3 linked regions of the Rattus norvegicus genome follow. The protein of the gene in region 2 purifies or fractionates together with the protein of the main gene of each other region. This does not show direct contact. Links are inferred from orthologs where the notes say so. Each region holds a gene or a part of one and is shown on either strand. Other genes may lie near its edges. The genes, in order: Cyb5r3, Rtn4 and Atl3.

What was found.
Region 1: the proteins of Rtn4 (region 2) and Cyb5r3 purify together in Homo sapiens (affinity purification with mass spectrometry; 3 studies listed by BioGRID and IntAct, counting the BioPlex papers as one, with this or other methods). This does not show direct contact. The link is inferred for Rattus norvegicus from reciprocal best matches to the Homo sapiens genes RTN4 and CYB5R3.
Region 3: the proteins of Rtn4 (region 2) and Atl3 purify together in Homo sapiens (affinity purification with mass spectrometry; 4 studies listed by BioGRID and IntAct, counting the BioPlex papers as one, with this or other methods). This does not show direct contact. The link is inferred for Rattus norvegicus from reciprocal best matches to the Homo sapiens genes RTN4 and ATL3.

Annotation. Positions count from the first base shown.
Region 1 is NC_086025.1:116,197,643-116,201,293, reverse strand, and holds part of Cyb5r3 (NADH-cytochrome b5 reductase 3), read left to right. Parts: intron 1-3,235; coding exon 3,236-3,367; intron 3,368-3,651. UniProt on the Homo sapiens protein: Catalyzes the reduction of two molecules of cytochrome b5 using NADH as the electron donor.
Region 2 is NC_086032.1:107,664,512-107,668,162, forward strand, and holds part of Rtn4 (reticulon-4), read left to right. Parts: coding exon 1-2,320; intron 2,321-3,651. UniProt on the Homo sapiens protein: Required to induce the formation and stabilization of endoplasmic reticulum (ER) tubules. They regulate membrane morphogenesis in the ER by promoting tubular ER production.
Region 3 is NC_086019.1:214,137,574-214,141,224, forward strand, and holds part of Atl3 (atlastin-3), read left to right. Parts: intron 1-151; coding exon 152-244; intron 245-1,533; coding exon 1,534-1,672; intron 1,673-3,651. UniProt on the Homo sapiens protein: Atlastin-3 (ATL3) is a membrane-anchored GTPase that mediates the GTP-dependent fusion of endoplasmic reticulum (ER) membranes, maintaining the continuous ER network. It facilitates the formation of three-way junctions where ER tubules intersect.

The sequences.
Region 1 (3,651 bases), on a different chromosome or scaffold from region 2:
TGAGGGTTGAGGTAAGAGGGCAGTGCTTTTTGGGAGCTGCCAGGAGCCAGTTCTGCTCATTAAACCTGTACCTTCTGAGCATGCTCCAGTGCCAGGGACAGATGGCTCCCTCCACAGCCTGTGCTAGGCCAAAGGTTTGTAAGGCAACTCGGACAGGCTGAGCCCTTCCCTCGTCAGGGAGCCATCTTGGCTTTTGCCCCGTTTTTGGAAACTTGCACACAATGTAAGAAGTCAGAGAGTCAGGAGGGATCAGGAGAGAGGGGTGTTGTTGTCCTTGTGGTAAGTCCGCAAATATTTACAGAGTACCTCCCTCACCAAGTGCTGGCATAGTGGTGACTAGGCAACCCTAAGTTACCCAGAGACAGGAGAGGGGGGCCATTTTGGGCCCAGGGCTGTTTTGGGGACCCTACCTATGTTTAGGGACCCACTCAGAGGCCTGGCACTGGTGGGTTTAGGGTGAATGAGGGTTGTAGGCTGGTCCACAGATGGTCAGCTACATGTTGGGCCTTTCCAAACCTCCTTTGTTAAGTGGGGGTGTAGAGACAGTTGCACTGACTTTTGTATTAGTTATGACCAAAGGTAACTTAGGGAAGAGCTTGTTTTAGCGTATACTTCCAGAGGACTAGAGTCTGTCAGAGCAGGGAAGGCTTGGCAGGGGGAGCAGGGAGCTGAGGGATCATATCTTAGCCACATATAGGAAAACAGAGATAGTTTGCCTGTCCCCAGTGAAGTTCTTCCTCCAGCAAGGTTGTACTCCGAAAGGTTCCATGACCTCACTAAACGGCACCGTGTACTGGGGACCAGGTGTTCAAATCCACAAGCTATAGGGGATGCTCCTCGTTCAAACCACAACAGGCACCCACCATGGAGGGTCAGAAACGAATCCAGGTGTGACAGGCCCTGGGAAACCAGCTTGCAGGCTCAGGGGACTCCAGCTAGTGAGCCCGACAGGGTACTCCAACAGTCCTGCTGGGGAAGATAAACCAGAGTACACTGAGCATGGGCCCAGTTGGTTGGAGTCATTGATGCTCATTCCTAAGACTTCCAATGGTGGTGGTTTCTGGATGAGGTCTTGCTCCCTGCAATGGAATTTTCTGTAGCAGAAAATCGCTAGAATGCCCTTCATGCCCAGAAAGCTTACAGAGACGCCAAGGCTGTGAAAAGGCACCAAGAGCCTAGTTAGCTAGGCATGGCTCCTCAGGTTCTGAAGGATTCACAGATGTCTACTGGTTGGATGCATCTAGAAGTAGGGCGTGGGGAGAGAAAAAAAAATGTGCAAAGGTCAAAGCTAGGGAAGTTGTGGAGGGAGCCGGCAGTGGAGTCTGTTTTGAAGCCATAAATCCCATGCGTTGAAGGCTGGTGGGTGGGATCCTTGTGCACCTTGGAGGTGAAGTAGCTTGATGGTTTGGAAGGCTGGGCTTGGAAATATGCTCCCCACTTCCAAGGGGGAATAGTATCTGACTGCAGACTCTAATGGGGACACAGTAGGACCTGTCCCCAGAGGTGGCTCAGAAACAGCAAGATGGGACAGAGAAGTCCTGAATTCAAATCACTGTTGCATTCATGTTTGGTTTTGTCACCTTGACCAGCCATTTATCCTGAGAGAGCACATGAGAATCTGGTGCTTTGAATGTGGTCCCGGGACTTTGGTGTGAGTTGGGGCAGGATGATTCCCTCTATCTTGTTTCCCCTCTATGGCTTGGAGTAGCTGCTACACTTGTAGTCAAGAGCTGAAATGGGGTGGCCCCAGGAACACAAGGCCTTGTCCTTAGAGCAGCACCAGCTCAGGGAATATGACTGGTGTTTTCTCTGTGCATGGCCTTTGGAAGCCCCCTCTGTCTCCAGAGCCCTAGGGAACCCTTTCTGAGTTCTGGGCTGGGCCTCAAACCTTGGTTTTTTTGAGCTTACACTTCATGGTGTCAACTTGGTCTTTCAGTGAGTCTTGCGACAGAGCTAATATGGTGCTGGGTACAGTGGTGTGCATCAAATGGACGTGGTCCTCATATAAGCATACCAGGGGCCTATGGGGTAAGGCCTTGGCTGGGAAAGAGGCAGTTTATTCTGGGCCCAACAAAGGGCCCTTAGCTGCTGGGGCTGCTTGAACCTGCAAGGCCGGTTTGGGGGTGAGGAGTGTATCTGGCTGATTGATGGTCCCTCCACTTCTCAGGTTGCACACCCCTCTGGGGATTGGGGTGGGGGAGGGCTCCCAGATTAACTGACTGCTCCCTGGGAAGAGTACCTCATGATGAGCCTCACCTTCTGTTTGCAGATGGGACAAGAGGCTCAGACAGAGCTACAGGGCAGGGCTTTGAGGGATGGGGACCCTGGGGCTGGGCCAACCAACCAATGGGCTTCAGTGAATGAGAGCACTTCCTCACTCCGCTCCTGACAGAAATGACCAGAAGGAAAGATCTCTGCTTGTGCTGTCTGTCTGTCGTCTGTCAGGTAGAGGAAGTAGGGACCTGTTGCTGAGGCTGTTCACATCCCTGCTAACCAGGGAGCAGAGAAAGGGCGGGAGCCAAATCCAGTGACTCACTTCTTCAGCCAAGCCCAACTTCCCAAAACAGTTGCCCAGGGCTACTCAGCCAGTGAGGAACAGTGCCCAGCCAGTGCTGAAGGCAGCCCAGCGTCCAGGGACAGACTCAGGGTCTTTGTTTATGGGAAGTGACTCAACTTATCCACCCTCACTGGCTTGTTTCCTTGGATCTGGGTAGAAGCAAGGAGGAAAAAGTATAGAAGTCCTAGGAAACTGTCGCAGAGATGTGTGGGCCCCTAGGAAACTGGCGCATAGACGCTCCAGGCCTGTGCTCATCAGTGGCCCCTAGGAAACTGGCGCATAGACGCTTGGAGCCCCGTGGCCAGTGAAGGGCTCTTAGGTGGATTCGGAGCCAGGCTGAGAACTGGAACTTGGGCCTGGGATTTGACTCCGTCCACAGAGTGCTTGCACACCATGCATGGCACAGGTCTGTAATATCTACACTTGGGGGCAGGAGTCAGAAGTTCAAGGTTTTTTGAAGCTTCCTCATGGTGCTGGGCACAGAGGACTGAGTGGTGCAGCAAATGTCGTTGAGTCTGGTTTTGGTCATTTCTCCTGGTGAGCTGCCGAATGGAGTTCACTTGACAAGGCTGGAGAGGAAAGGTCACAGGAGGAAAGGCCCAAGGATGCTGGTGAAGTGTCACCTGTAAGGTGGGCGCAGGACCCTGTGCTGACCTGGGCTCCGCTCTGTCCTTGCAGTTGAGCCGAGTGGTACTCTCCCCGGTCTGGTTCGTCTACAGCCTCTTCATGAAGCTGTTTCAGCGCTCCTCACCGGCCATCACCCTCGAGAACCCCGACATCAAGTACCCTCTGCGGCTCATCGACAAGGAGGTGAGTGCCCTGCTCCACCCCCCCAACCCCCGCCCAGCATCCCTGTGGCTCCCAGGTACCTACACTGCCCCTCCATCCCCCTCCCCCATATTGCAACCTGCCCACCAAGGCCATGGAGAAGTGACAGAGGGGTTCAGTCCCTGCTCTCTGTGGTGTGAACTCTCCCTGGGGAGATAGAAACAAACTCCCACTCCCTCAGAGAGGCAGGATGACAGACCAAAGTACCATTCCACCAAAAGCACTCTGGGAAACCAGTAGCTTTATTGAGCTTACTGACAAAGCGT
Region 2 (3,651 bases):
AACACTGTTTCGTCTGGTCAAGAGGATTTCCCATCTGTCCTGCTTGAAACTGCTGCCTCTCTTCCTTCTCTATCTCCTCTCTCAACTGTTTCTTTTAAAGAACATGGATACCTTGGTAACTTATCAGCAGTGTCATCCTCAGAAGGAACAATTGAAGAAACTTTAAATGAAGCTTCTAAAGAGTTGCCAGAGAGGGCAACAAATCCATTTGTAAATAGAGATTTAGCAGAATTTTCAGAATTAGAATATTCAGAAATGGGATCATCTTTTAAAGGCTCCCCAAAAGGAGAGTCAGCCATATTAGTAGAAAACACTAAGGAAGAAGTAATTGTGAGGAGTAAAGACAAAGAGGATTTAGTTTGTAGTGCAGCCCTTCACAGTCCACAAGAATCACCTGTGGGTAAAGAAGACAGAGTTGTGTCTCCAGAAAAGACAATGGACATTTTTAATGAAATGCAGATGTCAGTAGTAGCACCTGTGAGGGAAGAGTATGCAGACTTTAAGCCATTTGAACAAGCATGGGAAGTGAAAGATACTTATGAGGGAAGTAGGGATGTGCTGGCTGCTAGAGCTAATGTGGAAAGTAAAGTGGACAGAAAATGCTTGGAAGATAGCCTGGAGCAAAAAAGTCTTGGGAAGGATAGTGAAGGCAGAAATGAGGATGCTTCTTTCCCCAGTACCCCAGAACCTGTGAAGGACAGCTCCAGAGCATATATTACCTGTGCTTCCTTTACCTCAGCAACCGAAAGCACCACAGCAAACACTTTCCCTTTGTTAGAAGATCATACTTCAGAAAATAAAACAGATGAAAAAAAAATAGAAGAAAGGAAGGCCCAAATTATAACAGAGAAGACTAGCCCCAAAACGTCAAATCCTTTCCTTGTAGCAGTACAGGATTCTGAGGCAGATTATGTTACAACAGATACCTTATCAAAGGTGACTGAGGCAGCAGTGTCAAACATGCCTGAAGGTCTGACGCCAGATTTAGTTCAGGAAGCATGTGAAAGTGAACTGAATGAAGCCACAGGTACAAAGATTGCTTATGAAACAAAAGTGGACTTGGTCCAAACATCAGAAGCTATACAAGAATCACTTTACCCCACAGCACAGCTTTGCCCATCATTTGAGGAAGCTGAAGCAACTCCGTCACCAGTTTTGCCTGATATTGTTATGGAAGCACCATTAAATTCTCTCCTTCCAAGCGCTGGTGCTTCTGTAGTGCAGCCCAGTGTATCCCCACTGGAAGCACCTCCTCCACTTAGTTATGACAGTATAAAGCTTGAGCCTGAAAACCCCCCACCATATGAAGAAGCCATGAACGTAGCACTAAAAGCTTTGGGAACAAAGGAAGGAATAAAAGAGCCTGAAAGTTTTAATGCAGCTGTTCAGGAAACAGAAGCTCCTTATATATCCATTGCGTGTGATTTAATTAAAGAAACAAAGCTCTCCACTGAGCCAAGTCCAGATTTCTCTAATTATTCAGAAATAGCAAAATTCGAGAAGTCGGTGCCCGAACACGCTGAGCTAGTGGAGGATTCCTCACCTGAATCTGAACCAGTTGACTTATTTAGTGATGATTCGATTCCTGAAGTCCCACAAACACAAGAGGAGGCTGTGATGCTCATGAAGGAGAGTCTCACTGAAGTGTCTGAGACAGTAGCCCAGCACAAAGAGGAGAGACTTAGTGCCTCACCTCAGGAGCTAGGAAAGCCATATTTAGAGTCTTTTCAGCCCAATTTACATAGTACAAAAGATGCTGCATCTAATGACATTCCAACATTGACCAAAAAGGAGAAAATTTCTTTGCAAATGGAAGAGTTTAATACTGCAATTTATTCAAATGATGACTTACTTTCTTCTAAGGAAGACAAAATAAAAGAAAGTGAAACATTTTCAGATTCATCTCCGATTGAGATAATAGATGAATTTCCCACGTTTGTCAGTGCTAAAGATGATTCTCCTAAATTAGCCAAGGAGTACACTGATCTAGAAGTATCCGACAAAAGTGAAATTGCTAATATCCAAAGCGGGGCAGATTCATTGCCTTGCTTAGAATTGCCCTGTGACCTTTCTTTCAAGAATATATATCCTAAAGATGAAGTACATGTTTCAGATGAATTCTCCGAAAATAGGTCCAGTGTATCTAAGGCATCCATATCGCCTTCAAATGTCTCTGCTTTGGAACCTCAGACAGAAATGGGCAGCATAGTTAAATCCAAATCACTTACGAAAGAAGCAGAGAAAAAACTTCCTTCTGACACAGAGAAAGAGGACAGATCCCTGTCAGCTGTATTGTCAGCAGAGCTGAGTAAAACTTCAGGTAATAATCTATGCACTGTCTCACCAACTTCTCGGCTTGCTATGGAATGCAGATAACATTTTATGACATAACATTTCTGGGGTCTAATGTATCACGTGATGAGAATCTTCAGTTTTAGTTCTTTTGGACTGGAAAGATGGCTCAGTAGTTAAGAGCACTTGCTGTTCTTGTACCCTCTACAAGACTAAGTTCGCTTCCTTAGCGCCCACATGGTTTCTCACAACCAGCTATATCTCCAGTTCTAAGTGATCTGATGCCTTTTTTTTTTTTTAACCTTTATGGACATCAGAAATATTACACACACACACACACACACACACACACACACACACACACACACACACGTACACACGTGCGCATGCAGGTGAAACATTCATACACAAAAAAATAATAAAAATGGAAAATGATTATAGCCAGGTATGGTAGTGCAATATAGTCCCACCTACAGTCAGGAGCCCAAAGTAGAATTATTATGAAGTTATTGCAAAAAACAAGAATACAAAAGTTTTCTGCTGTTTCTTCCTGCCCCACTTCTATTCAATAATTTATCTTTGTTGTAGGCTTTTTCGTAATTATTGCATCATGGAACCAGGAAAAAAATTAGTAAGATTATCTTCCATGATGCATTTTTTTCTTCAGTGTTTTCTGATACTGTGACAAGCAAGGGATATTAAAGCAATATTTTCGATGTGTTTATTTTTATCTTAGATATGATTTCAAGCCAAATTTGTGAAGGATGACCATTTCTGTAGCTTGCTTTTGGCATTTATATATAATATATTATTTTTCTAGAGAGAGGTATGAGGTTAGACATACTAAGTATAGATTTTTTTCCTGAAAAGTAATTATTGAAACATGTTACCAATTTATGAAAATCTCAGATTATCTATTTATACTTTTCATTTATCTGTTTATGTATTTTTTAAGTATAGGAGTGTCTGCAAGTATACCTACATGCCAGAAGAGGGTATCAGATCTTTTTATAGATGGTTGTGAGCTACCATGTGGTTGCTGGGAATTGAACTCAGATCCTCTGGAAGAGCAGCCAGTGCTCTTAATCGCCGAGCCATCTCTCCAGCCGTCATTTGTACTTCTGACTCAACATTTACTATGTTTGTTTTGCATGCTTTTTTTTAAACTTGGCATTCTGTGAGCTGTGTTTTCTAGTCGAAATTATGTTGTATTTACTTATATATTAGAGACAGCTAGCATCAGACGAGTATAGAAATTCTAAGAGGAGATTCTGAATATTCAGATAATGAATCAAGCATGGAGATTTCCTGTTTGGAGGACATGGAGAGAAGTTAAAGACAGTGCTAAGATTCTGGGTT
Region 3 (3,651 bases), on a different chromosome or scaffold from region 2:
ACAGTCTTGCTAGATTGCTCAGGCTGGTCCCTTTCAGCATGCCTCTGCCCCCTTTGAAAAAATTAGCAGAAAATATTGTGGTAATAACTGTAATTCATCTTGAATATGCACTTATACAGTGTTGTAATTCTGTTCTGCTCTGTCACAACAGACATTAATGTTTTTGGTTCGAGACTGGAGTTTTCCTTATGAATATAACTATGGACTGCAAGGAGGAATGTCGTTTTTGGATAAGCGTTTACAGGTAAGTAGGAAATCTGAATGGTTTTCTAAAGTTAGTAACTTTCCCATTTCCTTTTGAATATTGTCTTTAAAAAATATCATTGAAAACGATACTCTGGGGTGCCGGAGAGGTGGCTCAGCGGTTAAGAGCACTGACTGATCTTCCAAAGGTTCTGAGTTCAAATCCCAGCAACCCCATGGTGGCTCACAACCATCTGTAATGAGATCTGATGCCCTCTTCTAGTGTGTCTGAAGACAGTGACAGTGTGCTTATATATAATAAATAAATTTTTTTTTTGGTTCTTTTTTTTTTTTTTTTCCGGAGCTGGGGACCAAACCCAGGGCCTTGCGCTTCCTAGGTAAGCGCTCTACCACTGAGCTAAATCCCCAGCCCCAATAAATTTTTTTAAAAAAAGAAAATGATACTCTTAAATTTTATAAATATTAGTATAAACTAGGATAATTTTTTGTTTAAAATTTTAAAAATTACATGTATTTATTTGTGTGTGTGATAGAGAAAGAGAGAAGAGTGCTTCAGTACTCATGTGATGGTCAGGGAACAATTCTTTTCCATGTGGGTCTCAGGGATTGCACTCAGGTTGGCAGACTTGATGGGCAAGTACCTTTACCTGCTTAGCAGAAAGATGGCAGTCTTTCTGGCCCTAGTATAAGTTTTTTCATGGTAAAATTGAAGAACCCCCTGGTTCTTCTATATAATATATAGACACTGTGGAGAGAAACTCTGAGCAAAAGGCCTTTGTAATTGTAATTTCCAGTTATTTTGAATCAGGTTCTATATGTGCCTTTAGACTATATTTAGGATTGTAATTCTGTTCTTACTCAATATTATTATTTTTTCTTTTTTTTCGGAGCTGGGGACCAAACGCAGGGCCTTGCGCTTGTTAGGCAAGCGCTCTACCACTGAGCTAAATCCTCAACCCCTTACTCAATATTATTTGCCTTGGCATATATATATAAACAAGCCTAGCCTGTTCCTAAAACCAAAGCACAGGAGACCTTTGTCAGTCACTGCTAACTTATTGGATCCTTCTGGCCTACAAGCTTTCTGTTCTCCTTATGTGTTGTGCAATACCTTGTGTTGTGCAATACCTTTGAAAACCAAGTCTTTAGTCTCTACTCTCTGTTAGCTATGAGAGCCTCATGCACATGTACACTTACTACTTCTTGGGGCTGTGGCTCTTCCCATTGGTCACTGTGATCTATCACTCAGGAAGTCTTCTTTCCTTTGTCCTGATGCTAGTGAAGAATACCAAATTGTCTTTGGCTTGTAAATTTGATTTTCCTTGGCAGGTGAAGGAACATCAACATGAAGAAATTCAGAACGTTCGAAATCATATTCACTCATGTTTCTCGGATGTCACCTGTTTTCTCTTACCACATCCAGGGCTCCAGGTGGCCACAAGCCCTGACTTTGATGGGAAATTGAAAGGTGTGTTACAGACGTTGCTGTTGTACATGTGATTTGATCTTTGGAATTCCATAATGAGCAGTAAGAGTCAGTGATGATGAATCAAATGGATGCCATGAGAATAAATGTGGTCTCATAGAAAGAACAGTGTTAGTATAGTTCAGATTTCCCTCCTGCCTTACTCTGACCATCAGAAGTACTTTGCCAGTTCACTAACTGAAAATGAAGTACTGTTCTTCAGGGCTCTTCCTAAGAATGTAGTTTCTGCTTTATAAGAGATCAAAATGCTAAATGAAGGAAGACTGGAATCTAAGACATCCAATATTTTTCGAGTAAAAATATCTTCTCAGGAAAAGTACCATGATGCACAACCAAGCACTATTTATGCTCGACTCCTTTGTGTTTTTACCAAAACGAGATGCTGGGTCATAGGCTAATGTCAGGAAGTTCTGCGTCAATGGTAGGTTAGAGAATCAGAGTTGGGATGCTTGGGTACCATTATCTTATTTTTGTTCCTTATTCCTGGAGGCCCTGAGTCACCTGATGGCTGTCCCACAGTTTATACTTGTTTTTTTTTTATTAAAGATTTATTCATTTATTATATATAAGTACACTGTAGCTGTCTTCAGATACACTAGAAGAGGGCTTCGGATCTCTTTACAGATGGTTGTGAGCCACCATGTGGTTGCTGGGAATTGAACTCAGGACCTCTGGAAGAGTAATCGGGTGCTCTTAACCGCTGAGCCATCTCTCCAGCCCCAGTTTATACTTGTTAAACAGTTTGTTGATAGGCTGATCTGAATCTCTTAATTTTCCCTAAAACACCGATAATAGTTGTTGTCAGCATTGCAGTCCAGTTGGGTTCCCAGTGTTGTGCAAAATGCTTTAATACTAAGCTCACAGTAATTCCATGAAGTTACATCATTTTATTTATCTCTATATCAGGAAGCTGGCAAAAATGAGGAAAGTTAAGCAACTCACTCAAAGTACTTAGCTAAAAGCAGTGGGGCAGAGGTGCACAACTGGGTACTGGTGCCTTAAAGTCTGCACCGTGGAAATAGAAGTTCATTGTTGTTTGGAGGAAGTCTTTATAGAGTATGTTCATGTTGAGTTACCAGGACAACTTGCCCTTTAAGAATAGCCTCAGTAAATATGAAATATATAATTTTCATTCTTTTTGATTTAGTTGCTCTAAGAAGAATAAATAATATTTGTTTAAGTCAATATGTACAGACATGAGGCTACAGAGATAACTCAATAGTTAAGAGTGCTCTTGGGTTCTATTCCCAGCACCCACATTAAATGGTTCACAAATATTTGTACTGTAGTTTCAGGGAATATGATGCCCTCTTCTGGCCTTCCTGGGTACTGTCATGAACATAATGCACTTGTGTGCATGCTGCCACATACATACACATAAACTGAAATGGAAACTCAGCCGTTCTTTTTTTTTTTAAGATTTATTCATTTATTATATGTAAGTACACTGTAGCTGTCTTCAGACACACCAGAAGAGGGCATTGGATCTCTTTACAGATGGTTGTGAGCCACCATGTGGTTGCTGGGAATTGAACTTAGGACCTCTGGAAGAGTAGTCGGGTGCTCTTAACCGCTGAGCCATCTCTCCAGCCCTCAGCCGTTCTTTAGGTTTATTCTATGTGTGTGAGTGTCTTGCCTGCTTGTATGTAATATAGCACGCGTGTGTGTCCTGTGTATGCTGAGCTCAGAAAAGTGTGCTGGGTGCCCTGGAACTGGCGTTATTTATTGTCATGAGCCTCATGTAGATGCTGGGAACTCAACCTGGGTCCTCTGCAGTGACAGGTATGCCTGTCTGCGGAGCCATTTTCTCTTTTTTTTTTCCCCCCAAAGATTTATTTTTTTATTTAATGCGTATGGGGTTTGCCATCTTATATGTACCATATGTATGTGCAGAGGCCAGAAAGAGGGTGTCTGATCTTCTAGAATTAGAGTTATAGATAGTTTTGAGCCATCATGTAGGT